4 separate regions of the Mus musculus genome follow, and all the other regions are reported to be linked to region 3. Evidence: microRNA targets listed by miRTarBase, many of them from high-throughput screens and not tested one by one. Region 3 holds a microRNA gene; each other region holds the end of a gene's coding sequence.

The links. The annotated mature microRNA mmu-miR-3090-3p reads UCCCAGGUGACACCCUGACUCA and lies in region 3 at 4,873-4,894, opposite strand. An mRNA with a match to its seed (bases 2 to 7 or 8) in the 3' UTR can be bound and repressed. Matches are read on the target gene's strand: a 7mer-m8 pairs with bases 2 to 8, a 7mer-A1 pairs with bases 2 to 7 and ends in A, and an 8mer does both.
Region 1: the mRNA of Ldlr is a reported target of mmu-miR-3090-3p. Seed matches in the 3' UTR shown: 7mer-A1 at 1,773-1,779.
Region 2: the mRNA of Glrx2 is a reported target of mmu-miR-3090-3p. Seed matches in the 3' UTR shown: 7mer-A1 at 5,425-5,431.
Region 4: miRTarBase lists Mrpl35 as a target of mmu-miR-3090-3p. Seed matches in the 3' UTR shown: 7mer-m8 at 3,195-3,201.

The regions. Positions count from the first base shown.
Region 1 is chr9:21,746,652-21,754,909 of GRCm38, forward strand. It overlaps Ldlr (low density lipoprotein receptor), which reads left to right. Exons shown (of 18, transcript NM_010700.3): 17 at 498-655; 18 at 1,490-3,268. The coding sequence ends at 1,525. Among named protein-coding and RNA genes, the nearest start is that of Spc24, 9.5 kb to the right of the region's middle.
Region 2 is chr1:143,746,134-143,754,234 of GRCm38, reverse strand. It overlaps Glrx2 (glutaredoxin 2 (thioltransferase)), which reads right to left. Exons shown (of 4, transcript NM_001038592.1): 4 at 4,557-7,727. The coding sequence ends at 7,596. Ro60 (Ro60, Y RNA binding protein) reads left to right here. Exons shown (of 9, transcript NM_013835.2): 9 at 1-3,445. Among named protein-coding and RNA genes, the nearest start is that of Glrx2, 11 kb to the right of the region's middle.
Region 3 is chr2:133,561,396-133,569,653 of GRCm38, reverse strand. It overlaps Mir3090 (microRNA 3090), which reads right to left and starts at 4,946; the gene lies at 4,860-4,946. It overlaps Bmp2 (bone morphogenetic protein 2), which reads right to left. Exons shown (of 3, transcript NM_007553.3): 3 at 6,758-8,258. The coding sequence ends at 7,939.
Region 4 is chr6:71,809,894-71,818,151 of GRCm38, reverse strand. It overlaps Mrpl35 (mitochondrial ribosomal protein L35), which reads left to right. Exons shown (of 4, transcript NM_025430.3): 3 at 403-547; 4 at 1,865-5,155. The coding sequence ends at 2,053. Reep1 (receptor accessory protein 1) reads right to left here. Exons shown (of 7, transcript NM_178608.4): 7 at 7,442-8,258. Among named protein-coding and RNA genes, the nearest start is that of Mrpl35, 9.8 kb to the left of the region's middle.

The DNA.
Region 1 (8,258 bases), not on the chromosome of region 3:
GGCAAGGGAGTGGGGTAGACAGTGGATTTCTTTCTCAAAAAATAATTGTGATCCTGTGTGAAAAAATCATGGTGGTTCATACCTTGAATCTTAGCATCCAGGAAGCAGAGACAGGAGTTTGAGGCCAGTCTGGTCTACAGAGTGAGTTTCAGGACAGCCAGAACTACACAGTGAGACCTTGTCTCAATAAATAAATTAATTAATTAAAAAGAGCAAAGTTGACAGAGAATCTCAAAAGTTAGAACCAGGGTCAGGCTATGGGGCCCAGGCTGGCTCAGAAGTCAGCATCCTCCTGCCTCATTCCCCTGAAGTGTTAGACTCCCAGTGAATGCTATACCAACACACACTCCCTTGGTTTTTTTCTTTGTATGATAGGTGAGTATAATTTTACATTCAAAACATATCGCTGTCACATGAAAGGGCCAGGATGGACATGCCGGTAGCTTCACTGGCACGGGGTCTCCTGAGAGCCCCTGACCAAGCCCCTCTCCCCACAGCACTGGTTGCCCTCCTTGTCCTTGGGGCCGTCCTGCTGTGGAGGAACTGGCGGCTGAAGAACATCAACAGCATAAACTTTGACAACCCAGTCTACCAGAAGACCACAGAGGACGAGCTCCACATTTGCCGAAGCCAGGATGGCTATACCTACCCCTCAGTGAGTGTGCCCTTTGTGGGAGAGATGAGACATCAAATGAGGTGAAGGACAGAAGTTAGGTGGAGTGGAAGGAGAGGAAGCCCAAACCAGGGGCATGCACAGCTCAGTGGTAGAACCTGCCTAGGCCCCCAGTGAGGGCTTAGGGTGTGCCTCACAGTAGCAGGAACATGCTAGAGCCAGCTGTATGTGGACCGGGGAGGAGGTCTCCTCTGAGTGGGGGTTGGGAATAGAGGAATCAGTTCATTGCAAAGACCTCAAATTGTGATAAGATTGGGCACAGTGTACTTAAGAAGCATAAGGGAAGACTGGAGAGATGGCTCTGTGGTTAAGAGTACTGGCTGTTCTTCCAGAGGACCTGGGTTCAATTCCCATCTCCCACATGGTGGCTCACAATTATCTATAACTCCAGTTCCAGAGGATCTGATACCTTCTGGCCTTCACAGGCATCAGGCACATGTGTAACTTTAATGCAGAGAACACACACACACACACATACACACACATCCCCTCCCAAGGGTGGGGGGAGAGAGAGAGAGGGAGGGAGGGAGGGAGGGAGGGAGGGAAGGAAAGAGAGAGAGAGAGAAAGAGAGAGAGAGGTTTTCTAAAAAATCAGAAAGAAACACGGGATATATCTGTGGTAAGATCCGAGCCTGGAAGTGAGAGGAGAGCATTGTGAGCCTTAGTTGACCCAGTCTTAGGTGTTCTGGCCACCTCTGGTGACTGCGCAGGGACAGAAGGTGAGGGACACGAGCAGGAGAGAGAGGTGGATTCCTGCCATGCTTGTGTATAGTCCTGTTAGTCTGATTGTTTCCTGTGTTTCCGCTTTGCTGACAGAGACAGATGGTCAGCCTGGAGGACGATGTGGCATGAGCAGCCGGGAGAGCCGTCTCTTTCCGGGATCCATTGCCAAGCTTAGGCAGAAAAGACACTCTCTCCAGACCTCCCCATCCAGCACTGGTCCTGCCACCTCCCTGGGCTCTGTGTTGCTCAAAGCAAGATAAGAGCAAAGCTGGGCTGGGGGCCAAGCTCAGCTGCCTGTCTGCCCCAGGTTCTGTTTTATATATTTATTGTCTGGGGACAGAAAAGGCTACTGGCTGTGCTTGAAATTCGAATTCTGCCTGGGAATTTTTTTTTTTCTCCCATCTTCATTTCCTTGGAAGCCAAATAGGCTGTCCCAGAAGCTTCTGAATTCTACTCTTTTCAACACTAACACGGAGGAGGAAGAGACCCACCCAGGCAGAGAGAAGCCTGCTGGACATGAGACAGCAGGTACTACTGACCGGGTCCTGGGTACCATAGCCAGTCCCTAACCTCAGGACTTCCTGCATTGACCTTCATCCCAGAGCCTTCCTGCCTGACTCTGCCGCCCCCATCAGAAGCCAGGAAAGTGACTCGTGACATTCGGTACTGATCTTGCTGGATCTTGAGGCCGGCAGCTGCCAGTGATGGATACCCGCTCATGCCTTTGCCAAAACGTCACCCGTTCCTGGAGGGACAAGCCCAAGTCGCCATTCTCCCTTAATATTTATCAAGTGCCTGAGACAACTGGTTGCCTTGCTCAGGAGTCCTGGCCTGCTCAGTGTCCTGCTGCTCAGGGGTGGCCGGCAGGACCCCTGTCCTGTGCCCAGCCCCCGAGTCTCCGAGTGAGGCTTGCACTTCTCTCTGCGCACTTTTCCCGTTCTGTGCTGGGCACCCACGTGGTCCACATTTGTACTCCTAGGTTGCACTGACCCTGGTGCATTGGATGGGACCTCAGGCCGGAAGTGGCCCCGAATCATTGACCACAGAAGATAATTGCCAGGCTCCAAGCATCCATTGCCTTCTTCAGTACTGGGGGGAACTCAGGGCCTCTGTCTGGTGTTTAGTTAGTCTGTTTGTTTGTTTGTTTGTTTGTTTGTTTGGTGGTTTCTGGCTCTGCACAGCAGAGTTGTTTAGCTCCTCTGGTAACGTCATCCTCTCTCACAGAGACATCCAGCCTGCTGAAGGGGAGAGATGGGGCGAGGGGAGGGATACACGCATGGTTTCTCAGGTGTGGTGGCACTTGGCTTTAATCCTATGCTCAAGAGGAAGAGGTGGGCACATGTCTGAGGTCCAAGCCTACATAGTGAGACCTTATATATCTAAAAACCAAAAGAAATCCCAGACTATTTGGTGGGACTTGGAAGAATACTTAGAAATTGCCACAGATTTGTCACATGGGTAACCTAAGAAGACAGTGGTGGCCTTACTTGGATTCCTGGGTAGATCCACCTGTCCACTACTCAAGACACAAGGGCACACTGCCCAGCCCACTGGGACACTTGTAAAGAGCTCTGTAATGTGCCGATGGCACCTGGCTCGGTTTTCATTCTGTATATTCAAGGATATCACACATATGTATTAAATCTATTTATTTTTGCAAACCCTGATTGCTGCACCTCTCTGCAATTTCTCCAGGTTAGGCTGGGGTGATACTCTGGGATGCTCTGTATACAAAGATGATTTGAATGGGCTGATCTCAGGCCTGTCCTGTGCGTTGCTTTGAGTGGGTGGGAACTGCTTTGAAACCCTTGTTCAGATGTTTTTATAGGCTGAAAATATCATACTGTGATGGATTAAATTCTTTTTTGGAAACTTTGTCATCCTTATGTGTGTGAGGTGTGGGGTGCAGAGGAGGCATCGGGAGGCTTGGAGGATAGCTTTGTGAAGCCACTTCTCTGTATTCACCCAGGCTTAGGAACAGGCTTGTGTGTGTGTGGGGGGGAGGGGGTCACGCACCTCTCTCCGTGTGGGTGTCCTGAAACTCCAAATTGTTCCTTTGAGGCAAAGTTCTTCCCTGAACCTGGGGCCCCCTCAGCTATGTCTAATGCCAACAAGGCCCAGCCTGGCTCTGCTCTGCTCAGAGTCAGGGGTTACAAGGTTCAGAGAACTCCCATCTTGCTAAGCTGGTGCTCGAGTGTGCGCCGTGCCCCTGGTGACAAAGTGAGCGTCCTTAGCTGCTGAGTCCACCATTTCGCTAGCTGTGCCTTCTGTTTGAGTTGCGTGGTTTTGGTAGTTTGGAGCCAGGATCTCACAATGTAGCCTGTGTTGGGTTGCAGGGCCAGGAAGAGTAGCTGAAGTGCCTATTTTAAATACCAAAGCAGACCTGGCCTACAAGTTCTCCCAGTATCCTGCAGTCCCTACCTGTTGCTGGGCACATAGGTAGGTACACCCCACAGTCTACCCTGAACTTTCCAGCCCCTGCAGCCCAGGGGCGGGGCTTCCTCTCCCCAAGGCTCTATTAGGTAATCTAGACATTTTGGTTCTGTCTCCTCTGCTTGTATACTTTCTTCCTCTGTCCCAGCCGCTGCCTTTCTGTCTGCACAGCGACTTCCCTGACCCCCTCCTGGGACATCAGTGAGCCTGCCATAGAATAACATCCAACCAACCTCATTATAAACTTGAAAACCCAGACTAAACTCACCTGCCTCAGCCTTCCCAGTGTTAGTGTTGAGCTGTGTCTCTCACCGGCCGTCTTTTTTAGGACAGAGGCATTATTCTCTCTGTCTCACACATCCACGAGGGGTATTTTTTAAGACAGAGGCATTATTCTCTGTCTCACACATCCACGAGGGATGATGAAGGTGAGCACACTAACCAAAGAGCAAGTCTTTTTTTTTTTTTTAAGATTTATTTATTTATTTATTTATTTATTTATGGTTTTTCGAGACAGGGTTTTACAACCATCAGGAATGAGATTTGACACCCTGTTCTGGTGTGTCTGAAGACAACTACAATGTACTTCCATATAATAAATAAATCTTAGCCAGGTGTGGTGGCTCACGCCTTTAATCCCAGTACTTGGGAGGCAGAGGTAGGCGGATTTCTGAGTTCGAGGCCAGCCTGGTCTACAGAGTGAGTTCCAGGACAGCCAGGGCTACATAGAGAAAACCCTGTCTCGAACTCCCTCCCCTCCCCCTGAAGGGAAAAAAGAAAAGAAAAATTCAGGGAAAGAGTCTTGGGGAAACAGAACAGGAATGGAGATACACTAGACAAACAACCTGGCTCCGACCCTGGCTCTGCTGTAGTTTTCTGTGTGACCCTGTGCACTTCAGAGCCTCGTTAGCCCAGTAATTCCACCTTCTGCCAGACTGGTGGGACCTCTACCCAGGCCTGCCATCTCCTCTGAATCCACGGGGTGGCACATCCGTCCTTCCTTCTGCCCTTTGTTTGGGGCAAGAGCCAAACTGCCTCAGAGAGAAAGTGGAGAAGCAAGTGGCCTGGAAAGCCCGTGGCTTCACAGGCCTTCAAGGACTGCCTCCCTGAGTCATGGTGCTGGCATGTGTGGCTAACAGCATGGTGGAGCTTCCACGTCCTGGGAGTTAACAGACTGGAGAGCAGGTGTGGGGCTCCCACGGGACATCATGCATGGAAGGTGATGGACTGACTTTCTTCTTCTCAAGACAAGGGTTTCTCTGTGTGGTTCTGGCTGTTGTAGAACTCCCTCTGTAGACCAGGCTGGCCACGAACTGGAGATCTGCCTGCCTCTGCCTCCAGGGTGTGGGATTAAAGTGGAGTGCCACCACCCATTGGTGAGCATTTCTGATCCTGGGCTTCAGCTTTTATTTTCAAGGCCCTGCAAAGCCAAGTGTCCTCACCCGTACCTGTCACCCTACCCCTGGGGAGGTGGAGGCAGGAAGATCAGGAGTTCAAGGTCATCCTCCCCTACATAGTGAGTTTCAGACCAACCTGGGGCCCATGACTCTGTCTTAAAAACACTTTACTTACCAACAGGCACTGAAGGGCTGGTGTTTAACTCACTGTGCAGTGCCTACCTAGCGAGGGGAATGGGAGGTACTTGGGTCAGGGTCCCCTTTTCTGCTCTCCCGTCTTCTTTGCCTGCAGTTCTCTGGGCTCAGAATAGCAATCAGTGAAAGACCTGGATGTGTACCCGTGTGTGCAGTACCTATCTGACCCAGGGTGGGCAAGTGATGGTGGTCTTGCCTGCCTCGTCTCTGTGGATTCAGTTCTGCCCAGGACAAGAATGGCAGGCAGCAGCTGATTTCTGACACACGAACTGCTGTTCCCCGCTGACCACCAGCCCCCCAGGCTGTGGTCCCTTCCAACTCACAGTGTCTGAGCCCACAGCTGTGTGTGGTGAGCCAGCTTGGAGCCCCAGCGGGAATGGCACGGGGGAGACAGTGGGAAGGGTGCTCTGCTAGGCAGCCAGCATTCCCCAGCGCCCGCTGCGGCTCCAGCTCCCACTGTGGTTTTCTGAGATTAAGTTCTCAGGAATATCACTCCTACTCAGCCTGCCTGGGGAAAGTCTCCCTAGATTTCCTGTGTCTTGTCTGACACCCCTACTCGAATCTGCTTCCTGCCCTAGAGGAGCTCTGTCCTTCCCTTGTCCCGCCCTTTGGCCAGGCCTTGTAGGGAGTGTGTGGGAGAAGCTTGGAGCTTAATTAGATCAGTCTCTTACTCAGCAGAGCCACTGGCTGTCTGGAAAATCTTCCCCCTATACTGTGGACTGCAGGCCCAGATTGATCAAGATGCTTTCTGCGGTTGCCTGGTGGCAGTCCTTAGCTTGCTCCCAGCTTAGCATTATTCTGTGTCACCATCTCTACCCTCCCAGCCTCCCCCCCCCCCCCCAGCATTTTATCCCCTGTCACTTCCTTATTGCCAGGTGTGCTGACCTCCTTCCTAGCAGGAGATTGAGAGTCCCCCCACCCCCACCCCCACCCCGGAGCTCAAACACCTACCAGGTGTGAAACCTGAGACAAATCTCCAGCCTGGGTTTAGTTTCCATTTCCAGATGATGCGCGCAGCCAGGCATACTTCCATAGCTCCAGCCACTTACAAGTATGGCTGCCACAGAACCATTCAGCCAGCAGGAGCCTGAATGTGCTTGTGGCTCAAAGGGTAGGTAAGGGCGCTTGTCTTCCAAGCCTGGTGATCGAGTTTGATCTGGTCGTAATCCTTGTAAAGGTGAGAGAACTGATCCCTTACCTCTCACAAGCATGCCTGCACCCCGGGGCCTGCACTTACCTCCCTACATACTGTGACTCTCCATACAGACACACAGTAAAAAGGACCTATTAGGAGGTCCCGAGATCCAGGTGAGAGTGGCCCCAACAACAGAGGTCACAGGTAGAGTCCAAGTGTGGTCATGCCCATAACAGACAACCGATCCTGTCCCCCACACCAGCCCAGCTTTTTTTTTTTTTTTAAAGATTTACTTATTTTACTTATATGAGTACACTGTAGCTGTCTTCAGCCACACCAGAAGAGGGCATCAGATCCCATGACAGATGGTTGTGAGCCACCATGTGGTTGTTGCGATTTGAACTCAGGACCTCTGGAAGAGCAGTCAGTGCTCTTAACCACTGAGCCATCTCTCCAGCCTCCAGCCCAGCCCTTGTGTCATGAGGAGACAGCCTTCAAATCTGGCTGCCTGGCTCCTCCTGCTCATTTCCTAGGTCTATGCATCTTTCCTGCTTAAGGAAACAGCTCTTAACTGCAGCTAACCCCAACAGAAAGAGGGAGAGACTGGAGAAAGGGGCTGGCCACCTGCTGGGTGCTCTTACCACTGTCCTAAAAAACCACCTAGTCCTGGTGACACTTCAGAGGAAGACACTATGTGCCTTAGGGATTGGTGGCAGTAGAACACAGGTGAATGGGTCAACCCCTGGACTTCATATAATGTCTTGGGACTTAAGGGAAATGGCCAGATGGATCCGTCCCTCAGTTTACCTCATCTGTAAATTAGATTCAGGACTGCTCCTCCTTCTGGCTGGTTCTCTTAGAAGGAGCAAGTCAGGCTGTGGGTAGGAATTTGGGCAGGAGGCTGTGGCCTGGCCCCAAGATGTCCCAGGCAGCCAGCCAGTGCTGGGCAGTGACTCAGAGCCTAGGCATGCAGAGCTGGGGGCTCTCCAGGGTGCTGGGCCACAGTCCTCACTCACTGGACCTTGGAGTCAGCCCCCAGTGCTCCTCCAGGGAAGGGAGTGAGGCTCCCCTGCCACCAGAGGGTCAGGAGTTTGAGCAGCTGGGCACTTGCCCTTCTTGTGCAAAGCCTCGTTGTTGGTTCCTGCTGCTCTGCTGGGTTTTTTGGTAAGATTTATGTATTTTATGAGTGGTTCGCTTACATGTGTCTGCACACTGTGTGTGCCTGGCACATGATGAAGTCAGAAGGCTCCAATCTCCTGAACTACAGCTAAAGACATTTAACTCTGTGGATGGTGGGAATCGAACCCAGATCCCTTGGAAGAGCAGAAGGTGCTATTTAGGTGAAGACAAATACGGGCCCTTGGATCCTGTGAGGCCTCAGGCCATCAGACTTGATGGCAAGAACCTTACCCATGAGCCATCTCCCTAGCCCTCCAGCTTGGCTATGTTGGCAGCCTTGAACTCCATGGCTACGTTCTCCACCAGGCACCAGGTCTGCAGGTCAGCATGTACAACCGTGAGTTCTCTATCCTGCACCGTCTCACACTGGTATGAAAACACAAGTCCACAGCAGTGACTCCGCAGGCAATGTGGACTAATGCTAGTCCTGCAGACGTTAGCTGTATTATGTGACCTTCCCAAGGGACACTCAGCCATGGCTCAGACACTTCCTGTTGTCAGGACACTACTGGAATCCAGTGAG
Region 2 (8,101 bases), not on the chromosome of region 3:
ATCTAATGATCTTTAGAAGCACAGGAAGTGTACATCTAAGCAGGAAATGAAAGCTAAATCATTGTAAATTCTTTGAGTTATTTTCCTGTGACCTAAACATTTTGTCCCAAGGCAAGCAAGATAGTCATCGTGGGTAAAGACACTCACCACCAAGTTTGATGAATGGTTCCCAGTCCCTGGACCCCACAAGGTAGGAGGAGAAACCAGTTCCTGCCGGTTGTCCTCTGTGCCATGGCGTGCATGGGCGTGCATGGGCGTGTAAAAGTGAAAAGAAGTGCTGCTACAGATTTGGTCTGTGTTGTTGTGTGGTGTGCTTGTAGTCAAAGTAACTCAAGATGCAAAATCGTCTTGGATTCCATTGGTTTTGTTAGGGTACAAGTTGTCATCTTAGAGAAATGTCACACAGCCAGAAGGAAGGATCAGCAAAGATGACAGGTTCTTTGTGAGACAAGCCGGTGTTTAACTCAGAAGTTATTGTGTTCTCTTGATACCTGCTCCATCATCTCTTCTTCCATGGAAGATTACTTCTCGCCCATTTTTCTCTTTTGCAAAGTCTTCTCCCATTTTTGCCTTTTATTCCTGTTTGATCCAGTTGGGTAATAAATTGCAGGACCAGAAAATCATCCACAGTCAGGTTTGGGGCGAATCTACTGCAGGTTGTTTTTTTGTTTTATATAAATTTAAGAGTATATTTTTCAGAGTTGGAGAGATGGCTCACTGGTTAAAAGCCCTGAGGGCCCAGGTTCAATTCCCAGCACCCACATGGCAGCTCACAACTCTCTGTAACTCCAGTTCTGGGAATCCTACACCATCACAGAGACATACATGCAAGCAAAACACCAATGTACATAAAAAAAAATAATAATAAATAATTCATTTTTAAAAATGTTTTCCAAATTACTGAAGTAATATCCGGATTGATATGTTCTTTGCCCAAATCAAGTCATGTTGTAGATATTCCAGAAATGTTATAGCCATTCAATAAGACCAGAATCTGTATAATCACTGATAAACACTGAAAAGAGAACTGTTATACTATATATGCAATCTAATTGACCGCAATTTCAGAAAGTGACACATATATCCTCTCAGTTCTATAATTACACTCCTAGTTTACAAAGTCTTTCAACTGAGTGTCTGTCCATGCATGCACACATACATGTACACTGAACTTACAAAAAGCCTTATAATGACTTACGTTGACATTCACTATCTTACTGGTAACTATTTACTCTTTTGAAAAAAATCACTATGAAATTTAAAGTTGATTTGAAAATATTTTCATATAGAAAACTAATAATGTAACTAAGAATGCTATTTGAATAACATAACAGATGACACAGTTTTCCTAAACCCTAAAAGTAACAAGATATATTAGAAAAAAAGGGAAAATCAATGAGATTCTATTCCTAGAATTGTGATTATTTCCACTCAGCATTTGTAAATATAATGAAGATATACAAAAGCTGTTTCATATCCTTCAGGGATATGTTTGCCTTTCTACTTTATCCCTGCCTTTAATCATCAGAACTTTGTGAACACAGGTGAACTTTCATTTTAAAATGTTTGAACTTCTGTACCTTGTATAAGTTAGCAGAATCTGGATTAAAAAAAAAAAGAAACTAAATTAATTTCATTTCTGCTGGTTTCACTTTACTGTATATTTGTATTATTAAAAGTAGGGTTAATATTGTTGACTATGCGTAACTGCTAAATTATATCAGTGAAATCATTACATTGAAACTGTATCCAAATGATTTCTCAGGCTTTGTTTGAAGTGTAAACTCCAGCCCCATTATGACCAAATTAGACTTAAAGATAGTGAATGAATACTAATGAAGAAAGCTGCTCTTGTTGCACTGTTCTAAATAATAGAATATATATTTGGTATGGTTGGTGAAATAGCTTTTGTTATTATTTAAGTTACAATTTCTTATTGCAAATTTAATAATGAATTCTCCAAAGGAATGGGATGAATGGAGTTATATTTGAAAGAATTGGAAGAAAAGTATTACAATCTGCTTCTAAACTATTTGTTTTATTACAATGACATTTATTTCTATAATTGGCCAATTGATGGATCTTTCAGGTATCCAGAATTATGTCTGCGTAAAATAAATTATAGTTATATTAAGAGCCTTAAAGTGGGGAAAAAGGACTCTTTTGACTGCCTTAACATATGACAAGCTCTCTTTTCCAGACATACTAATTTCTTTAGGGTCTGTTAAATAAGTAATGCCTTAAGAGTGTGCTAATGATCTGAAGAGTAGAGCTTACAGGGTCTTCTAGAGCTTTTAATTCTACATAATGAATTTAAGTGTTAGGTATTATACCTGATTGCACATTAATAATTTGAAATAAGAAAAGAATAATCTGGCTATGCTGATGTGTAATAAGTACATGGCTGCAACATCAGTATATTTTATGGTTGCTTAAGATTTTGTATTGTTTTGTATAACCAGTTACCCAGAAGCTGGACTTCCTGGCCATAATATGACCTCCAAGGACCATGTTGCATATTTAACACTGGATGAAAAGTTCAGTTGTATAGCTCCAAAAAGAACTGCTTTTTAAGGGAAATTTTTGAGGCAAAAGGCAAATGTTTTGGTTCAAACCTATGAGCAAAGTCATTTAGAGAATTGAAGATAGTATTAAAACCTTGAGACTCTTGCAATAAAAATATCAGACCAGTGACTTGTTTCATTGCATTCTCATTTTGCATTTGCTTTGCCGTTCAAAGCAGAAAAATCTTACAAAACCGAAAGAATGCTTTAAAATTGTCACGCTGGTGCTTAAAGATCTATTATGCTTGATGTATAACTAACTTGTTTCCAAGAACGGAGCCTGGGGAAGGCTTATAGGCCTTTCCTAGTACTTGTGATTATTGATTGTCAAGTCTTCCAAGTTTGCAATGTAAATAATGTGTAACAATGTGACATTGGTGTTTTCTAATGAGGAGTGGATGAATGCTTCAGTTATTACTTCTACTTCATGATAAAAGTTTTCACCAATACTGAGAAATCTTGATTTTTGTAACCTTGCAAAATAACCTATTACATACAAGTTGATTGTCTCTTACCTGAAATGCTTGGAGCCTCAAGTATTTTAAGATTCTTTTTTCCAATTTTGGAATCATCTGCAGATGTATAATGGAATACCTGGGATTTGCTGTATGAGCCTTGTATGTGTCATGTGACAGAAAATCATGTTTTAATGGACTTGCTTTGGCTGTGACTTTGCAATTGGTCTATGGAACTTTCCACGGGCATTATGTTAACACTCTCAAGTTTCCAGTTCTGGAGCTTTCTAAAATTTTATATTTCCAAATTGGGGATGCTTAACTTGTAAGTCATTCCAGATGTGGAGTGGGCACTACACAAACTGTTTGTCACCAGTTTATTGTAGAAATCGATAGGTGTACCAAATAAATTGTATGCATATCAAATAACTGTCTTTTAATCATTTTTTAATCATTTTTTAAAACATGAATTTTAAGGTTATAATATGCCTTATATGTAAACCCCTGAAGCAGTCGGTTACAACTCAAAAGATAAAAAAAAAATCTTTCCATAATTAATATTATCTTTTTGATGTCTCTGTGTGTGTGTGTCTGTGTGTGTGTGTGTGTGTATGTGTGGTATATGTAGTTGAGGACTCTTTTCCAGTTGAGTACCATCACAGGATGAAGAAAATTGATTTTAATCAAAATACAAATGTTTTTATCTTTGGTGTTGTGTTTGAGTATATGTGGGAGGCGGGGGAATGCATGTTACAACACAAGCTGTTGGTTCTTTCCTTCCACCGTTATGTGGGGTCCAGGCATCGGATACAGGTCTTTAGGCTTGGCACAAATGCATTAACCTTCTGAAACTGGGTTTTGCTTTAACATATGCTAAGTACCATAACCCCCAAAACTAAAAAATAAATATTGTATCCTTTAAGCTAAGCGATAGCACAGTGTGTAAAGGACAGTGGTTGTACAAGCCTATTAACTGAAGCTCCATCACCAAAATGAACCCATACTAAGGTGGAGAAAACTGACTCCACAAAGCAATTCTGGCCTTCATATGCATGCATGCCTCATGCAGTCCTCCTTCCAGCACTAACACAAGTTGTATCTTGTGCGTGTGTGTTCCTGAGTTTTATCTAGCATTTCTTTGTTATTTGTGCACACATACATATGGACAGGGCCTATGAGAGTGAGCCCTCACATGGACAAGTCAAGAAGGACTTTCAGGAATCATTGCTCTCCACTGCGGGTCCCAGAGACTGAGCTTAGATCATGGGCTTGCTTGGCAAGCACTTCTACCCATACAGCTATCTAGACTCCATTATTGTAAATGTTCGCAGAGGCTAAGTCTTCTGTTACAGTCTTGGGTCTTTTTGCAAAGACATGTCAACCACTACAAAGACTAAGTGAGGTCAGCGCCCTTCACTTTCAACTCTTCCTGTCAGTGAGTAGTCCTGGTTTGCAAATTCATTCCTTTTGATGCAGTGCTAGGTTCCAAGAAGTAATCTTTTTGTTTAAGTCACTGAGAATAAAATTCAGCACACAATTAAGCAATCATTGGAAGAGTTTATTTCTTTTTTTTTTTTTTTTTTTGAGACAGGGTTTCTCTGTGTAGCCCTGGCTGTCCTGGAACTCACTCTGTAGACCAGGCTGGCCTCAAACTCAGAAATCCGCCCGCCTCTGCCTCACAAGTGCTGGGATTAAAGGCGTGCGCCACCATGCCCGGCTTTAAGAGTTTATTTCTTATATAAACTTATAATTGAAAATTAACATACCCTGTTACCTTCTATATTCTTGAGCCTTCTGACGATAAGGATTTTTTAAGAGCTGGGTTATTTTAACATCTGACCCTAACCAAGAATTATGTACCACACATCCTCTTGTTTCCCACAAGCCTAGGAAGAACTGATAAAACATTCTTAAGAATTAGTTGTATAGCTAAGTGGTATATTAGCCCAGTGGATATTAGCCCAGAAGCTCAGAATACCCAAGATACAATTCACAAAACACATGAAACTCAAGAAGAAGGAACACCAAAGTGTGGATACTTTGATCCTTCTTAGAAGGGAAAACAAAATACCCATGGAAGGAGTTACAGAGATAAAGCATGGAGCAGAAACTGAACAAATGACCATCCAGAGACTGCCCCACCTGGAGATCCATCCCATTAACAATCACCAAACCCGACACTATTGCAGATGCCAACAAGAGCATGCTGACAGGAGCCTGATATAGCTGTCTCCTGACAGGCTCTGCCAGTGCCTGACAAATACAGAAGTGGATGCTCATAGCCATCCATTGGACAGAGCACAGGGTCCCCAATGAAGTAGCTAGAGAAAGGACCCAAGGAGCTGAAGGAGTTTGCAAGCCCCATAGAAGGAACAAAAATATGAACAAACCAGTACCCCCAGAGCTCCCAGGGACTAAACCACCAACCAAAAAAAACACATGGTGGGACTCATGGCTCGAGCTTCGTATGTAGCAGAGGATGGCCTAGTTGGTCATCAATGGGAGGAGAGGCCCTTGGTCCTGTGAAGGTTCTATGCCCCGGTATAGGGGAATGCCAGGGCCAGGAATGGGAGTGGGTGAGTTGGGGGGAATGGGAGGGGATACGGAATTTTCAGAGGGGAAACTAGGAAAGGGGATAACATTTGAAATGTAAATAAAGAAAATATCTAATTAAAAAAGTCTAATGTAAAAAAAAAAAAAAAGAAAAAGTTTTATAAGTCAGTGGCACCTGCACACCTGCCTGCTATTCAAGCCCTGGGTCTGAGGCTGAATACCACAAAAAAAGCTCCTCAAAGCCAAGGCCATATTATTACGTGGTTGGTGTAGCTGTGCATTTAAGTAACCTGCCTTTGACCTTACATCCTAATAAGATTACTAGTGACAACAGAAACAGTGACACCTTTCCCATACATAATGTGAGTTTTAGAGCATAGTAAAATTATATAATTTCTCATGATATAGTGTAAAATAAAGGAATAAAAATACACCATGTTCCTTTCCTACCAACATGACAGCTTAAATCAGGAGAGCTGTCTTAACTTCTATGTCAAGTTATCCAAAATGCAGTTGAAGTCCACGTAGGAAACATCTCTGACAGCAAGCCACTGTCTCCCTCCAAACTCTGCATGAGTCCCTAGTCTATCTTGACCAGAAAGCTGAAGCACTCACTCTGGGAAGTCCATGTTCTTCCTACCTGAGAAAGGCTCAGCATTTGATAACATTTCCAACGTGACTCTGAGAATCTGCTAGGAAATGCATCATTTCTTAAGCACTTAAAATATTCTTGACCAGAGGCGGAAACCATGACCAGACTAGCAAAGCATTGGAAATGTTTTCAGTTCTTTTAAATATTACTTCTTAAAGGTTAATTCTGTTTGCTAAGTTTATCTGAAATGAAGTCAATTTGAACAGTGTCTTCCTAGTTAGAGAATAGTAAGATAACAGAAGTGATTTTAGGGACGCTCCATCTGTGGGACTCAGACAGACTACCTGAGACTGAGTACTTTATGAAGAAGAGATGGACTTTCTCTAGGTCATCGGTCGGGAAGGTGAGGTTATCTAGTGAGGATTTCCTTGCTGTATCAGGACACTGCAGAGGAAGAAGAGGAAGAGCAAAGACGGGAGAGGTAAGGGGACAAACTCATCCTTTTATCAAGAACCACTCTAATAGAGCACGGACCCATCTGCCCTCAGGATTAAGTACTTTGTAAAGGCCTCACCTCGCGTACCATATCAGGTTATGTCATGTGTTTCCAACACATGATGTCTGTGGTGGGGCACGTTCGGACTATAACAAGGACCGTTAGTCTAAACTCTAATTCCTGTTTCTCTTAAGCATTCTCAAGCTGGGTGTGGTAGCTCAGCATATAATCCAAGCCTGGAAACAGGTAGGAGGACTGACTTTTGCGTTTGTGGCCATTCTGAGCTACAGAGTGACCCTGTCTCCAAAAGGAAAAAAAAAAAAAATTCCAGTAGCTGATACACATTCTGAAAGGTAGAATGTCCAACTGGCAACAGAACTAAATAACATTTCTGAACTGTTTGAAAAGCCCACTCTCACTCTATTGAAACCTTTTGCTTTCTGACCATGAAGTCATTAGCAGCTTGATGCCCCAACTAGAAACTTCATCGAATTCTACATATTTAGTATGTTTGGTGGTCTAGAACATAAAGGGTTGTCATGATATGGTATCCCAACCCACTGCACATCTGTACCACATTAAATTTTAAGGAAGCCACATGTCAGTCCTCAGCCCTGACAGCTAGTGAACGTGAGAAGTTAATTCCTGAATGCCATGGGGAGCAAGAGTTTAAGTGCGTACTCCCTCTTTGCTGTAAGATTCTTAAATTCTTAATAAACATTCTTTACTTTTGATGTAACTCCACCTCCTTTAGTTTTTTTATACCATCTCATGCTCAAAAACTGGCCAATCGGGAGATGAAGGGTCCAGGGCAATTTATTGTTCATTATTCTGAATCATCTTTATGAAGGCAATCCACACACTGAAAACAGCCTCAAGTCAAAGGTACGACTGCACTAACTAGCATTTACTGGTATGGCGACTATCCACATCATTCAATGTCTTTCCTCTTGTTTTTTTTTTAAATAACACTGATGAACCAGAGGCAGCAATTTCCCTTCTTTGTGAAGCCTGTGAGTGTCCGCTGCGCCTCCAATAAATCGTCCATTGACAAATATCCTGGGAACCTGTTGAAGAAGGAAAAGATAAATAAGGCCTAACCATCGGTGTCAGAACTGGTCCAGTTTTGGAGGGAAGTGAGGAAAAGTAACTTGCCGAATATAGCAACAGGAAAAGAGGTAGGAGACAAATCTAACGCAATCTAATTCTAAAGCCCCTGCAGGCTCCTACAGACCACACGAATTTTAAAAAACAAAATAAGGTGAGCCCGACCAGCCTCCAGGAGGTTCCTCGGGGTCTGCCTGCCCTTCAGAGGCCTGAGTCAGAAAGGATCAACTTTTCCTTCTCTCTGCCTCTTTCTTTGGGATGCTCCTCAGAACCTAAGTACATTTTTTCTGATCCTTTGAGCTTCCCTACTTTCTCTAAAGCCTCCTTCCCCGCC
Region 3 (8,258 bases):
CCATAGATGCCATGGAGAAAGGTTATAATTTTGTTACCACTGGAATTAAAATACCACCTTGTGAATTTTCTAGGAACATTACATAATAACGGCTGAGCTCCAGGCCCTGCCCTGCCCTGAAGAGTGCCCCCATTCATTTTCCGGGATTAGTAACAATGTTACACTTGCGATGTATGACCCTCCATGGCTCTGACTATGGGAATGCCTTGCATGCCATCTGCCAAGCTGTTAGAATGCACCCACATGTGTTGTAAGGTCATCTAGCAATACCTTTTATGCTCCGTCATCAGGGCACATTCTTAAAAAGCACCTCCTGAACTTGCAAGCATATCAAACACTGGCTGATACAAAGGCCTAAAGAGTTTCCTTCCATCATCTCGGCTTCAGTCTTACTACATGTACTTAAAGTGACTGTGGAGCATGAACGGTACTACTCCTAAGAGAAAAAAAGGGAGTATGGGAGCTCCCTCACGGTCCAATGGGACAGCCAACTAATGACATATTTCTGCAAGGTGTAGTATCTGAAGCTTATGTATTTGTCAAGAATACATTTTCCTTTGGAGCAGCTGTTTCTCGCACAAGGAATCTCCTGATCTTAACTTTTAGATCTTTCTTTTTTTTTCTTTCCCTCCTCTTTTTATTCATCATGAAGATTGTAATTAAGACTAATTAAGACTCACAAAATATCAAAAGTAGGAGCAGCTGTGACAAGGCCTAAAGCATTTTATGGGAAAGATAAGCTACAGGACATACCAACAGGACACAGAGTCAAGTCGGTGGATGAGTTCCTGAGACCAACAAGGCTGGAGAACCAGTCAACTGACATGCTTGGTGTCTGTGCTCTAATTTATGACAAACACAGCCCAATCTGGTGCATGGGTTTTCTTATGTACATAGATTGTTCTTCTAAGAATTAATTTATTTTTTTGGACTCTTTGTATTACTGTAATTCAGTCATGCCAGACATGTTTGCATCTTAAATTTTATCGTGTCCCGTCACAGTTTTCTTTAGATAGAGAACTATTCTTTATCTGAACCTTAGCAAAGAGGAAACTCTTGAAACAAATGTCTGAGACCTTCTCTACACAAGAAGAACAGGTTGTCACCAGCATCGCCAAGGCAGTTCTACAACGTGATACCACTTAGAATGGTTCCAGTCCAGAAATCGGCAATAATTCATGGATACGTAAATACATGTATAATATATTTGAAGTATATGTGCATATATATTTATATTTAAACCACAAAAGTTATTTAGTTTCTATAGTTCTTCCCATTTCCTACTGTCCAGCTACATGGGATCTGACGAACATAGGGAATGCTGGATGTTGGGAGTGTTCATCTAAGACTGGTATTTTTATTTTCATTTATTGCTCCTCTCAGAAGCACTGTGATTTGCTGCCCAGCTCATCCTGGAGCCTCCATGCTTAAAAAGTGATTCTTATTCATACTGATATGCTTTAGAGAACTGCAAGCTCGTTGGAGAAAGTCGGATGGTGAGGTTTCTCTATCAGAGACTAGTTTGTCAAATCTCTCTGTCCAGGCCAGATGGGCTTCAAACGTGTCTCATTTGCAAGATGTTTGTGATGAACCAGCCTCAGTCCTTCACCCCCGCGCCCCTCCCCTCCCCCCTTGATCCCAGTGCCAGGAAATCCTGCCTGTAAATGAAGAATCAGAAAAGTGGTTAAAGTTTTCCATGGATTTGACTACATTCCAGCCCAGGGAACCCCACAAAGAGAGGAGCCAGAGCAGCAGAGACATGTCAGAGGGTAGAGGAGGAAGAAAGATCTCAGCATGGAGCCTGTCAGCTGCCAACTGTGTGCGCATGTGAGCGAACGTGTGAACACAAGCCCAACTTGGCCGATCTATAAAGATCCCGATTTTACAACTCGCTCCTGGAGCACGTTACAGAAATCAGAAAATGACTTTGATTTCAAATTAGGCTTTCACGAAGGTTTTAGAAAACATTTTCAATACCATCTATCAGGCAAAAACTTGGGGTCGCTTCTTCGAGACAGGGCCCTCCACACCCAGGCTTGGTGCTTCTAAACATTGCCTCCAACAGGAATCACTCCCTGACATTGAAACAATTGGAGGAGCTTGGAGCCGGAGCTCAACTTTACTAGTGATTTAAAACATGCCCTTGGAAACCAAGTTAGCTTCCAGGTGGGAAGCAAGTTCCAGCAAATGGGAACAGCAGTTAAGAAAGCTTTCAGACAATCCTGAAGGAGCCAGACTTCAAAACACTCTTCAGGGTGAGGGAGATGGCTCAGTAACTAAATCGCTTTCTGCACAAGAAGAAGCAAGTGAATGAAGCGCTTTAGCACCCACATTAAAACATAGCTGGGTATGGTGGGTAATGTGTCTGGACCCCAGTGCTGGGGGTACACAAGGGGCGGAGACAGGAGGATCCCTGGGGCTCGCTGGCAGACAGCCTAGCTAAACTGATGAGAACCAGGTTCAGTGAGACGCCTTTTCTGAAAAACCAAGGCCCAGAGCTATTGAGAGAAACACTGGATGTTAACCTCTGACCTCCACACGGCTGTGCACACATGTGCACGTGCACCTGAATACACATGTGCAAACACATGATCGCTGTACACACACACACACACACACACACACACACACACACACACACACAATTTCTACCAGTAAGCTATCTACTCAGCAAAAAACAGGAAGAGACAAGATCTTTGAAAGAAACCTGCACCTTCCCCATAAAGTCAGAGATAAAAGAGTTCAGCCACTCAAAATTTGTCGTCTTTAAAAATGCCTTTTGAATCGCTAAATTTTGTCTGCTTGGTTGTCTAGCAACCAAGTGCTGAACAGAAACTCCACCCAAACACAGTGAAGCAGCACATTCAGTTCATCAGGCTATGTGCATGCATGTGCGTGTGTGTGTGTGTGTGTGTGTGTGTGTGTGTGTGTGCATGTAGTGTCATCAACGTCTAAGATAGAAACTTGCTTGCATACAAAGAAGAGAAAGTCTTGATTGTAGATGGTACAATGACATGGGAAGCGAGGAAAAAGCAACAAGAAAATGTGCAATGCGGGATGAGGGTATAGTTTCCACACACTGGGCTAAGGCACGGTTTACACTCTTAAGCAATAAAAACAAACCATTAAGCGAGGCCCAGCCCCGTCAGGAAGTGTAAAACAGTTCTTGAAGCTTTGCAGTCGCTATACAAACGCTTTTCATAAACTCTGCTTCCTGATCTTCATTAAATGTTAACATCAAGTTGCCATGGGGCAATTAGCTTGCCTCCTGAAATCAATAAAAAATCAACAATTTGGAAATAGTTGTACAGTAAAATAGTTCAATAATTATTCTCTCATAGTGTTGTGGCCAAGCGGTTCTAGGGTAAATTCGGTCCAGATGAGTTCCTGCTCCTTATGAGGAGAGCTGTGAGCAGATCGGGGCTTTGCTGAGAGACCTCCTCATCAGAATGGACTGCAACAGTAATGGACTCCCAGCAATGCCTTGGCGAGGGGCCCAGCACACAGGCAAACACAAGCTTTTAAGTGCTGTTAAAGTCAGCGTATGGTGTAGCACCTCAGAGGGTCTCCATTCAGAGTTTAGAGACCTAAACAAAATGATAAATCCATAGGGATTGGCCAAGGGGGTGGGGTGGGGGACGGTTGATGCTCTTGCCTCAGCATTCAGACTCTAGACATGAGCAAACGAAAATTCCTTCAGAGATGTGCATGCATGTGTGTGCATGCGTGCATGTGAACATGTGTGCTTGTTAGCATGTACGTGTGTATGCAAATATGTGTGCTTGTATGTGTGTATGTGCACATGTCTGTTCACCCACAGGGATGTGTGTGTGTGTGTGTGTGTGTGCGTGTGTGTGTGTGTGCATGTGTGTGTGTGTGTGCGTGTGCGTGTGTGTGCGTGTGTGTGTGTGTGTGTGTGTGTGCATGTGTGTGTGTGTGTGTGTCTTACACAACAAGATTGGTTGAGATTAAGAATATATTCATCCTGACATTTCTTCAACAAATATTAAAGTCTGTGTTGCTTCTAAGAGTTTCTGAGAGCCGAGTAAGGTGCTGCCCAAGCTACCCTTGATCCCCACAGGGCATTCTGCTAACAAGTGGCATTCATGCCAAGCAAAGCCAGGAAGTTATTTCTGTGCTGACCCTCTTTGCAGAGGGAAACCCATTTTTTTCCCTAGCTTAAGCCCATTCACATAAGCACTTTATTCCAAGCCAACTGCAAAAAAGATTCGAACTTCCATTAGAACAAACCTCCCATACCAGATTTGGAGTCCTATGCCACCCTCTAGGTTCAATGAACTTATACAGTGTACTGTCTTATAACTTAGAAAAAAGTCAAGCATCATTTTAGTATAAACAAATGCTTCAACCATACGACATCTACCCTCTGCCTTCAAAGAGATCCCTTTAACTCAGGTGCTTGGCACTAACATCACACAGGAGCAGCTCAGCACACTGACTTAAGTGTTCAAGTTTTTTAAAGTACATTTCTAAGGACTTGCACCTGCTCCCTCATACATATAGATGTACTGACACGCATTTGACTAAACTGACTGCAGCGTGCCCAAGCAAGCAAGCAGAGCAGATTTTACAAGATAAGCAACCCAGTGTTTTCATGTCTAAGAGTGGCTAGAACATAAGATTGCCACTCATCTTGTTGGGAAAAAGAATGTCTTTGAAAAAAAAAAAACAAAAAACAAAACTGCAGGGCACTGATTCAGATGCCATGCAACGCAGCTTTGCCTTCTGTTTCTTCTCATTTACACATGGCTTTTACACACGAAGGGGCTGTACTTGAGCCAGCTTCTGTAGCCATGATCGAAAGAACAGTCCACACAACCTTGCTACTCAAACTGCAGTCCTCTGGCACAGTGAGTCAGGGTGTCACCTGGGAGCTCATTAGAAATTCAGGATCTCAGGCCCCACCCAGACCACTGGGACAGGAATCATAGGGTGGCAGGACTCCACCACGTGGGCTGTACACACATCAAGCTTTTTTGCTTTCCTGGAGGCATTCCTGATGACTGAGGTGCCCGCTAAACTCTAACAAGTTTTATTTAGAACTTTGGCCCCTCAAGTTAGTTAGAAGTTCACTTTGAAGTTGGTAGGGCGGGGAGCTGGTGAGAAAATTCTGCCCTAGAGGATGTCATAAGGCTTTAAGATATGGTGGCGGGGTGAAGGAAAGAGGAGATGCAATTTATCCAAGTAGATGTGTGTGCCCTGCCCCCTCAACCCCACCCTACCTGTCCCTTCCCCTGCAAGACATAAAACAGAAAAGGAATAGTGCAGGCTGTTGTGACCTCCTCACATATATGCCGATCTATAACGCCGCCCCCCTCGCCCCCACAATATAACCATTCTTTACTGCAAAGCTCTCTTCCTTTGTCCTTTCAATCAAAAAGTAGGGAGGGGCTCAGCATGTCAGCACCCAGTGAATCAGTATCTTAACAGCAAGGCAAGTGACTAGAAATTTGCTAAGTGATTTGGCTCATTTTCGATAGTACAGATGAGTGTTCTCCATCTTAAAAAAATAGAGAGAACACCTGAACCACTCGGGGTATATACCAATGACATAGCTCCATTTACTGTGACGTCTCTCTCTGAACCTAAATGGAAATCAGAAGTGCGACCATCTACATATGTAACATAATCTTCACATAGCTATGTATAAATTAGAACATGTACACACTATATGCACATACATGTATGTATATACCTATATGTCACATGGGGCCTGCTGTGCTACAAGTAATTTTAGCCAAGAAAATCAAGACCAATGAAGCAGAAAATATGTACTGGATAGACCTGCCAGAAGGTGGGATCCTTATGGAATGATCGCACTCCCATCTGGAGGACTTGGAGATGTAAATATGTGGTTCATTCATTTTATAAGATGTTAAGATTGCAGTTTGTTACAGTGCCCATGGCAAGCAAGAGACATTAGAGAATGACTGAAGGACCAGGAGGACAAGGCTACCCATAGTTGGGTCTAATCGTTTCTACCTGTGCAACAACTAAAGGGATAAGGAACACATCAAAAGCTAACCAGGGTAGTCATTTAAAACAAGATCTTCAGAACCTTAAGGTTTCCGAAGGTAAGTGTGCTTGGGGTCATTGCACGGAGGTCCTTGGGAAGAATTTAATTATAACAGTCTGTCTTGCTGTAAGCACACCGCTTTCCAAGTCAGTTCTAAGGCACGGGTCAGGAGAGGAGGTGAGACCTGGGCTTCAACCATGACGGAGGGCTACAGGACACACACTCCGGAAACTGACCTGAAACCCTGCCAGGAACTAGCACTGGATTCCCCAATCTGCAAACAGCCACAAAGCCCTCCCTCCCTAGGTTTTGCTTCCAACCTGAGCACCAAAGCTCTGCCATCATAGAGGACTCACTTTCCAGAACCTCATCTGACTTCACTCTGTTTGAGCATCTGGCCAATTGGTAGATGTGCTGAGACGCTGATCAGACATTCTTTAATTTTTTTAGGCACTGTGGCCTCTGTTGTATGATATATCATCTCTGGAACTTTACCTTGGGTTCTGCAAACTTTGCTTTGATTTAGGCATTGGCTTTCTCTCACTCCCCCCGCCCCCTTATGAAAACTACTAACTCATTGGTAAGTCCTTTGGTCCAACTGGGGTTTGCTTAGAATTCTCCAACCATTTAAGTCATGTCCCCACCCCAACCTTGTCATCATTCACCCAAGAAATGAAAATGCAAACACAGGTAGACACTGCAAACACAAACAAACCATTTGCTCTCACGGGTTAGGTTTTATAGGATGAAATGCCAGAATTTTGATATTTATTATCTGAAATGGGTTTAACATTTGGAGAAATATGTTCAAACACATATCCCTGGAAAGAAAAGCAAGCTGACAGGTCAGAGAACAGGGTGCAGGCAGGAAACATATGCTCAATTTTGCTGCGTGTCAGGCAAATGTAGAAAATTGGGTGCTTTGGAGAATAGAGAGATTGCTGATAGGGTAAACACAAAATACAAGCCAATTTCTGCTTCTTTATGAGGGCCCACAAGATAATCAATTGTACACATATATGACTACAATGTTAATAAAGAAGAAATATTATATTTTATTTAGTACTTTGGCCAGATCAGCCCCCTGGAAGGGATTATAGGCTTAAGAAAGAACAAGATGCCATCATCACTTCCTGACATAGTCACAGTTTTCCTAATTATTCCCACTGGTCCTGCTTTGTTCTTGCTGCAGGGAGGGTGGCGAGAGCTTTTCTATCAGATCAGTAATGTCTGGTTCTTATCCAAATATTCCCCCTAATAAGAATGAAAGTTCTCACGGATTGGACAACCACTCTGCAACATTCCTGAGAATTGAAGAATATAATCTTGAAAGTCAGCAAAGTAGATTATCCTTTTTTTTTTTTTTTGGACTTGAACTTGTGAACTTTAACAGTAGTGCTGCAAGAAACAGACAGCAAGTGTGCAAGCACTTTGCTCAGCAACCTTCCATGTAGACTTTGCATCTTAAATACACACAACTGAAAAACAACTACAATTCTTTTTGAAAATTATATACAAACCCGATATTTCTTCTGATTACATATAAATACAAATTAACTATCTTTTTTCCCTAAAAAGTGGTTATAATAGTAAATAAATACAAAATAACTCTGACCATTATACTTCATGTGCTGGAGTTGAACCCATATAAAATGTACAACTAAATACATTTTAAATCTTTAAGGAATAATTCTCTGATTAAAATATTTGTTTTCCCAACTTCTTTTCGTAGATATAAATATATTTTCAAAATAGCTGTGTTTTTTTCCATTCCATTCCATAAATAAAGTCTTCATTGGGAAATATTAAAGTGTCAGCTGGTTTTTTTGGGGGGGAGGCAGGGGGAGTAGGGTTTTTTCTGTTTCTAAAATATATATATTTATTTATTTATTCTTGCTGTGCTAACGACACCCGCAGCCCTCCACAACCATGTCCTGATAATTTTTTAGCACAACCTTTTCATTTTCATCTAGGTACAACATGGAGATTGCGCTGAGCTCTGTGGGGACACAGCATGCCTTAGGGATTTTGGAATTCACAGAGTTCACCAGAGTCTGCACTATGGCATGGTTAGTGGAGTTCAGGTGGTCAGCAAGGGGAAAAGGACACTCCCCATGGCAGTAAAAGGCATGATAGCCCGGAGGTGCCACGATCCAGTCATTCCACCCCACATCACTGAAGTCCACATACAAAGGGTGTCTCTTGCAGCTGGACTTGAGGC
Region 4 (8,258 bases), not on the chromosome of region 3:
TGAGATGTTCAGCTTATGTGGTTCAGCTATGTGGGAGTCAGTCAGTCAGCAGGTAATCCGTGAAGCACTCTTAGGTTCCCACCACTGTACTTGCAGAAAGTACACAAAGATAAGCTGAAGTCCTCTAGGTAGGCAGATAGATAAGAAACTGTGTGATTAAAATACGGTGGACACATTCTCTCTTAATGGTCAAGTGGGTGGGCTTTATTTTGGGTGTTAGGGAATTGACCCTAAAGTCTTGTATGTGCTAAACACAGGTTCTACCTCTCCCTGTGGGGGGCAGATTTTAGAAGGCTTGAAGTAGGAAGGTTGCCAATCTTCTTGACATTATGTGGTGTGATGAAAGTCAGTTCCTTGCCCTTCGATCAGTCTGTTCACTACTTTTTTAAAACTGTATTTTAGAGTGGCCACATTGGTTCCCAGTGTCCTGAAGCCACCAGTCAGAGCTCTAACATACTGCAGCACACGGAAAGGCAAGAGAAAGACGGTAAAGTCGGTCGTGCATCGCTTCCTCCGACTTCATTCTGGCCTTTGGCTAAGGAGAAAGGTGAGTCTTTGTGCTGCGTGAGCCTAGCCATGGTGTGCACTCATCTTACGGTAGCTCTTCTGTGTCCTGCTGTGTCCTTGTGCAGAGAAAGGGTGTGAGTGTGAATAGAGTAAAGCACTGTTCAAAGTGGCAGGTGCAGTCACTGTGGGAAGGGCTGAGAGGGTTTCCCCTATCTTAGAGAAATCTGTAGATAAAGTGTGTATGTATTAGAACTGAGCTCATAGCCGGCATTGAGAAATGTCAGTGAAGAGCTTTGGCTTGTAAGCTGTTGGCTTGTTCTTAACAAGAGCCTCATTATCTATGCTCAGTCCCACAGATACGATTAGAGCTGCTGCTGACATCAGAGGCATCAGGTCCTCCTGAAGGTAGAGGTGCAGGCAGTTGTGAGCTGTCCAACATGGGTGCTGGTCCTCTGGAAGAGCGTTATGTGCCCTGAGCCATCTCTCAGGCCCTTAAGTTTCTGAGAGGTTTTCTCACTGAATCTGGGGCTCACCAATTTTTCTAGTCAGCCTGACCAGTAAGCTCTGGGATCCATTTGCCTTTCTCCTCACAAGTGGTGGAGTTACAGAAGTCCACGACCATGTCCAGCTTTTACATAGGTTCTGGGTTGCAAACTCAGGTCCTCCTGGTTGCATTACAAGCACTTTGCCCACTGGGCCATCCCCACAGCCCATTTTTGGTTTCGTTTTTTTTCCAGATAGACTCTTGCTCTGCAGTCTGTGTTCATTCATTTATTTCTAATTTTTAAAAGAAAGATTTGTTTTGAGACAAATCTTACTATGTCCAGGCTAGCCTGGAATTTCCTATGTAGACCAGGATGACCCTGAACTAAACAGAGATCAGTCTGCCTGAGATTTATTTTATTTGCAGTTATTTGTATGTGTGGGCCTGTGCCTGTGAGTGGGGTGCCCACGGAGGCCAGAGGCATTGGGTCCTGGGGAGCTAGAATTATGGATAGTTGTAAGCCACCTGTATTGGTGCTGGAATTGAATTCAGGTCCTCTGAAGAGTGGTGCGTGCTTTCATCTGCAGAGCCTGGCTCTCAACTTTCAGTTCTCTTGCCTCAATCTCCTGAGTGCTTGAATTACACATATGTACCCTATGTCTAGCTTGTGATTTTAATTTAAATAATCTTTCTAAAGTGTTAAATTATTAATCCTCTTCTACACATGCTTTTTAACCTGTTACTTATTGCAAAGAGAAACAACCCAATCTCTGTAGGTCTGGCTTTGCTCTTTGGGCCTATATACCATAAATTATGGAGCATCTGCTGCTGCCTTTGCAAGTTTTAAAATGTCTTTGGAACATTATCTCATAGGCTGGCTATAAGAAAAAATTATGGAAAAAGTCAACTGCAAGAAAGAAGCGCTTGAGGGAATTTGTGTTCTGCAGCAAGACCCAGAGTAAACTCCTGGATAAAATGACGACATCTTTCTGGAAGAGGCGCAACTGGTACGCTGGCGATCCTTACCAGATGTACCACGATCGAACAAACCTACGAGTATAGTTCAGAGCTATCATAGTTCCCAGCTATGGAATGTGGGTCTTTGTGTACATAATGCCCTTGCAAAGTGAGTATGCGTTAAACTGTAAACTGTACCAGCTGATCGGCAAGCTTAGATTACCACCATTGTGCATTAAACATTCCCAGAGTTGGTCATAGAACTAAAAGTTAAATTTATTGTGCATTATTTCAAAAAACTGGTAATGGCTTTCCTTATTTCTGGAATCTTGGATGAGGAAAAACACGAAAAGACGCTCAACAGTGGGCCTTTGTGTGGAATTGAGATGGTATCCAGGTTTTTGCACATGCTAAACAGACATCTTACATGCCTATTCCCAATATGACACATGCTGTGTTTAAAAAATAAATACCTAGGAACTCAGGAACCTCCTCACTGTCTCCTACCTGTAACTCTCTGCCCCAGCTTTGGGGAGGGCAGGAATTGGATGAAGCAAGAGATGGTGGGACTTTATGCCTTGGTTCTACTGTGAGAGTGTGTGGTGTGTGTGTGTGTGTGTGTGTCTACTCACCATCACTCTCTTTAGTCTTGGCTTTTGTTTATGTAAAGTTTCTATCTCTCAGACTCCCTTCAGCCTGAACCTTTGGGTTCCCTTTAACATTACAACCCTCAACTCTTGTCATCTCTTCTCTCTTAATTGCCAGGGAACTCTCATTGGGCCATCCTGCCTTTTCCTCGTAAGTCTGAATCAATGCCATCATGCAATGTAGAGCTTATCTGTTTGTGGCTAGGACTCCACCCAGGCTCTCTTAGTTGTATCAGTAGGTTCATATGGAGTAAAAAGGTAGGTGTGAGCTGTTTTCCTTAGAGGTACATAGAGTAGCAGGGCACTTTCATCTTGTGTCCTGGGTTCTTTGTATTTATGACAGTTATTACTAATTTTATTGTAACAGGATACTTTTCATAAAAATAAATCACCTTCCCAAATACCCTTCTTGAAATACATAGCTATATAATAAACTCTTTTGCCCAGTTTTTCTTTTCTACTTTACTTTTTATTTTTTACATATGAGTATTTTGTCTGCATGTGTGTATGTGCCCTTGAAGGCCAGAGGAAAGTTGTTGGGTCTACTGGCATTGGAATTACAGATGGTTGTGAGCCACCATGTTGGTGCTGGGAATTGAACCTGGGCCCTCTACAAGAACAGCCAGTTCTTAAATGCTGAACTGTCTCTCCAGGCCTCTGCCCAATTTTTCAAAGGCACTGAATTTTTAAAAAGTTTATCCACTTAAGATTTCTTATTTTCATTGGTAAAGATCAGCTTTTTTTTTCCAGAATTCTCTAAAACGCAGGGTGGAAACTAAGGGAGAAAGTTGCCTGTCATTTAATGAGACTGATGTCAGCTGTGCTCAGAAGGCAACAGTATCATTCATTTTATCTTTTTGTTTGTTTGTTTGTTTGTTTTTTCAAGACAGGGTTTCTCTGGCTGTCCTGGAACTCTTTGTAGACCAGGCTGGCCTCGAACTCAGAAATCAGCCTGCCTCTGCCTCCTGAGTGCTGGGATTAAAGGCGTGGGCCACCACGCCCAGCTAGTATCATTCATTTTAGAAAAGAGTCTGGCCATTCCATCCTGAATGCACATGACTTTGTCTGATCTCAGAAGCTAAGTAGGGTCAGGTCGGGCCTGTTAGTAGTCAGATGGAGAAAGATGCAAAAGTTACACGTGGTTTACAGAGAGTCAGAATTGATGCTGCAGGCCGAGAGAGTGACTCTCTGCTCTCCCATCAGAACCATCTGGAAGCATTTCCAAACAAAGCAGCCTGCCTCATTGAAAATTCTATTAAGGATGAATGACTGTTTGAAATCCATTGATGATAACATGAAGTCCCCCATTTAGTAGAATAAGGCAATCAGTTGGTGTTTTGATGGCAGGTAGGCCAGGACTTTGAGGACCATTCAGTTTTTGTTTTGTTTTGTTTTGTTTTGCTTTGTTTTGTTTTGTTTTGTTTTTCGAGACAGGGTTTCTCTGTGTAGCCCTGGCTGTCCTGGAACTCACTTTGTAGACCAGGCTGGCTTCGAACTCAGAAATCCGCCTGCCTCTGCCTCCCGAGTGCTGGGATTAAAGGCGTGTGCCACCACTGCCCAGCTTAGGTTTGTTTTTTTTTTAATTTTTTTTTAATTTATCCATTTGAAGCCAGTTCTTCATTAAATGGAGAGGGATGTAGAATGTCGTAAAACCCCATATGTGTGTATGTGTGTATGTGTGGGGGCAGGTGATAGAGAGCAGGCGTGTGACTTGAGCACCTCATACACCAATGGCTCTGCCCCGGTGGCTCGTGCTGTGCTCACCCCTGAGGCGGCAGAAGCTGAGTGCTGTGAGGCTTTCGAGGTTCCTCGCCTGCACAGTTCCTGCTTCCCGCACATCTGTGGCACTGTGCTGAAGCTAAGGAGGGAGACACTGCACAGCCTTAGACTTTTCTAGAGTCGACATGGATGGTTCAGATCTCTGTTACATGGCCTCAGTGCCTTGGCTTCCCCTGTAGCCAAGGACAGGCTAGGCAGAGGACAGCGGCCACAGGCTGAAGTAGAAGGGCTGCAGGCACACCTCGGATGGAAAGGGAACTTCTTCATACATACAGCTTTTGTATGTGGGTAGGGGAGCCTTTCATCAAAGCCAAGTTTTTAGTTTGACAACAAAGCAGTTTGCTTTAGAGCCTGCCTAAATGATGTTCAAGTGTATGCATAACTGTTTATTTACATGTAATTTATTGAACACTTGTCATATTTAAGCAAATCTGCAAAACTCTGCTGCACCTCATGCCAACCTTATACAATCTTATACACGAGCTATCATTTATCCCTGATATAAATTGAAGGCACTAAAGCTTATAGAAGCTGAAATAAATTACTCTAAAATATAGCTAATGCATCCCAGATCCCCTGTCTAACTCTTTGGAATCTTGTGTACTTCCTTTGATTTTCTAACAACATAGGATACTCATATCTTGATCAACAAATGACTGTGATCTGACACTAGTAGTAAATACTCTACCCGTTCAAGTCTGAGTTGTGTGACTTTGCTCTCTACCTGTCAACTCTGTTGGTGCATAACCCTGGCTTAGTAAATGAGTAATGAATGAATGGATTTCTAGTCTTTCTTCCCATCTCTTCTTCCTGTTTTCTGCCCTCTGAATCTGCTGCTTTAGTTTCTAGTCTGTGTACTGTAAAAACAAGAGAACCGACCACACTTGAAGGTCTTTGTGACCTCCCAGTGAGGCTAGAGTGAGCCTGCTGCCTTACTGTTGGTTGGTTGGTTTTTGAGATAGAGTCTCAATTAGCCCCAGCTGGCCTCAAATTGATGTGTAACTGAGGATGACCTTGAATTTCTGATCCTCTTGTCCCTACCTCTGGATGCTGGGATGGATGGATGAAAGTCATGTTATATCACATCCTGTTTATGCAGTGCTGGAGACAGAACCCAGTACCTTGTGCATTCTCTATGACACTATGATAGCGATGGCCCTGGTGCCTGGTGCTCATAGTTTCAAGGCAAGGGATGCAGAAGTGCTATGGGCATTTTTACCATCCACAGTGGCTCTGCACATACACAAGCCTGTTCTAACCTGCATAGGCAATCCCCCATCTGCAAGTGAAGAAAAACTCAGGAAGAAAACTGCTACCCAGTTCTGCCCATACAAATAAAACTGCCCACCAGTGAACTGCTCATATCTTCACAGGCTCCCAGTTTCCACTGACCTCTAAAACAGTAAAATAGTGAGACTTTGAGGTTAATATTTGTCTCGTCAGCTGAGTCTGTGAGACATGTATCAGTGATGTTTTTCTTCCGGGCCATCCTATGTAGTAGACATGGGCCAAGTTTCCAGGCCAGAGAGTATAAGCATTTGGTTTCTAATCCTTGTTACCTCCCACGTTTAAAATCTTTAACTCATTTATACTTAGAATTTTTACTTTGGTTTTGTATTTTTGAGATGGAGTCTCATATGTTCCAGGCCTGCCTTGTTCTCTATATAGCTGAAGTTCCCTTGAGGTTCTAATCCCCCTGAATGCTAGCATTGCAGATTGTGTTCCACCATATCTGGTTTATAAGGAACTAGGGGTTGAACCCAGAGCAGTATGCATATTAGTGAAGCGCTCAGCTAACTGAGCTCTATCCCTAGACTCCTTCTACATTATATATATTACATTTTATTTATTTAATTTGGGGGTCGGGGTGGGGGGAGATGTGTGCCACAGTGTGCACATGGAGATGAGAAGACAGTTTGCAAGAATGTCTTCTTTCCTTTGGCCATGGGAGTCCAAGGGTTTAAACTTAAGTCATCAGGCTTGTTAGCAAGTACTTTGTCTTAAGCTTTCTTACCAGTCCTACCCACATTTTAAAAAAGTATTTTGGGATTGCTGAGATGGTTCCATGGTTAAGAGTGCTAAGAGGAACCCACATCTGGTGGTTTATAACCACCTGTAATTCCTGCTTCAGTGAATCTGATGCCCTCTTCTGTAAGCATGAGTGATACCTGCACTCATGCATACAGGCACACACATCCACATAATTTACTGAGAGCCAGGCCAATCCAAGGCTTTCTCAGAGGCCCTGATGAAAAGACAAAAGGAACCTAGTTCTCTGTCCTTGCCAAGGGCAGACTTGGTCTGGTCTAGAGCTAGGGTCAAGGCCTCGAAGGAGTTAAGGATTTGGTTCCTGGGAACTTTGCTTTTTCCCTTAAAAAGACAAGTTATCAGTCTCAAAACTGATGTGTGCTGTGTCTGTGATGCACTTGAGATACCCTGTGTTACCCTTGTACAACATTGCTTGATCAGCTTCCTGATGACTTGATGTCACTGTATGGGCTTTCTGCTGACTCTTCCTCCTCCTTAAACTATATATAAGAAGTTGTACTTCATTGGGTAGGGTTGTGCACGCCTTTAATTCCAGCATTCAGGAAGCAGAGGCAGAGGGATCTCTGAGTTCGAGGCCAGCCTGGTCTACAAAGCAAGTTCCAGGATAGCCAGAACTCTACAGAGAAACCCTGTCTTCAAAACAAAACAAAACAAAATTAAAAAAAAGATGCTGTACTTCTTGACAAACTTGTCTGGAATAAGACACAGCTTTCCTATCTCATATATCTTTTCATCTCCTGGTAGTCCTCCTTAGGACCATTGAGGAATGACTTACTGATCTAGGTCAATAATTATTTAATTGTTTAAAAACTACCAAAATAATAATTTTTTTTTCTAGATAGGGTTTCTCTGTGTAGCCCTGGCTGTCCTAGAGCTCACTCTGTGAGCTGACCTTGAACTCAGAGATCTGCCTGCCTCTGCCTCCCAAGTGCTGGGATTAAAGGCATGTGCCACCACTGCCTGGCAATAAATCTTTTTTAAAAAGTATTTCTTTTCTCATTAGCCCAACATTACACTATTTTTTTAAAAGAAAAATGTTAAGACTTTATTCAAGATGTTTATCAGGCATTATAACAAAACAGCAGAGCTTCAGCCTTTGGAATACTGCAATTTACATCCTGTAGATACACAGTCCAGTATACTATTAATTGTACTCATTTATAGAGAGATTTCAGAAAGAAACTAGAGGAAATGCGCACAGTCACAATCTGGAACATGAGCTCTTCGAGCGTCCACTGTCAGAGGATGAAGCACATCTTCCACCACGTCTAATACTTCAAATACTGTGCAAGGTGAAGAACTGGGATGGCTACGTGATGGTTGTGGTTGATAAGCACTTAATACAAACACATGGACAGTTTACCACAGAGAACATACATATCAAAGGCCAGCAAAGTGAGCAAGCTATTCACACAAACTCAGGAGGCATTATGACTAAATCTCCAGTTGATGAGCAGGAGACTGCACCTCACCTCTGCAGAAATGGAGAGTAACTCAAAGCCGCGACAAGTAGACCTTCGAGCTAGCGATTTGTAAACAGCCTGTGTCTTAAGTCAGCGAACTAGAAACATTCATTTATCCTGCGTAGACAGAGCACCGCACTTCTACATACAAGGTCATTCACATCATATGTCAGTCTACATACAAATACACAGCTTGTCAGAAAAGTAAACACAGTTCTCAAGAAGTAAGACAGCTGTGTTTGGCTGTACAGTGAGTGTCTTTAAGAGAGGAAACAACTTAGTCAACACTTGAAGGAAAAGGAGTTACATTTACAATAAGACAACGATTTAGATACCTTTATATTTTAAATCTTGAGCGAGAAGTAATACAGC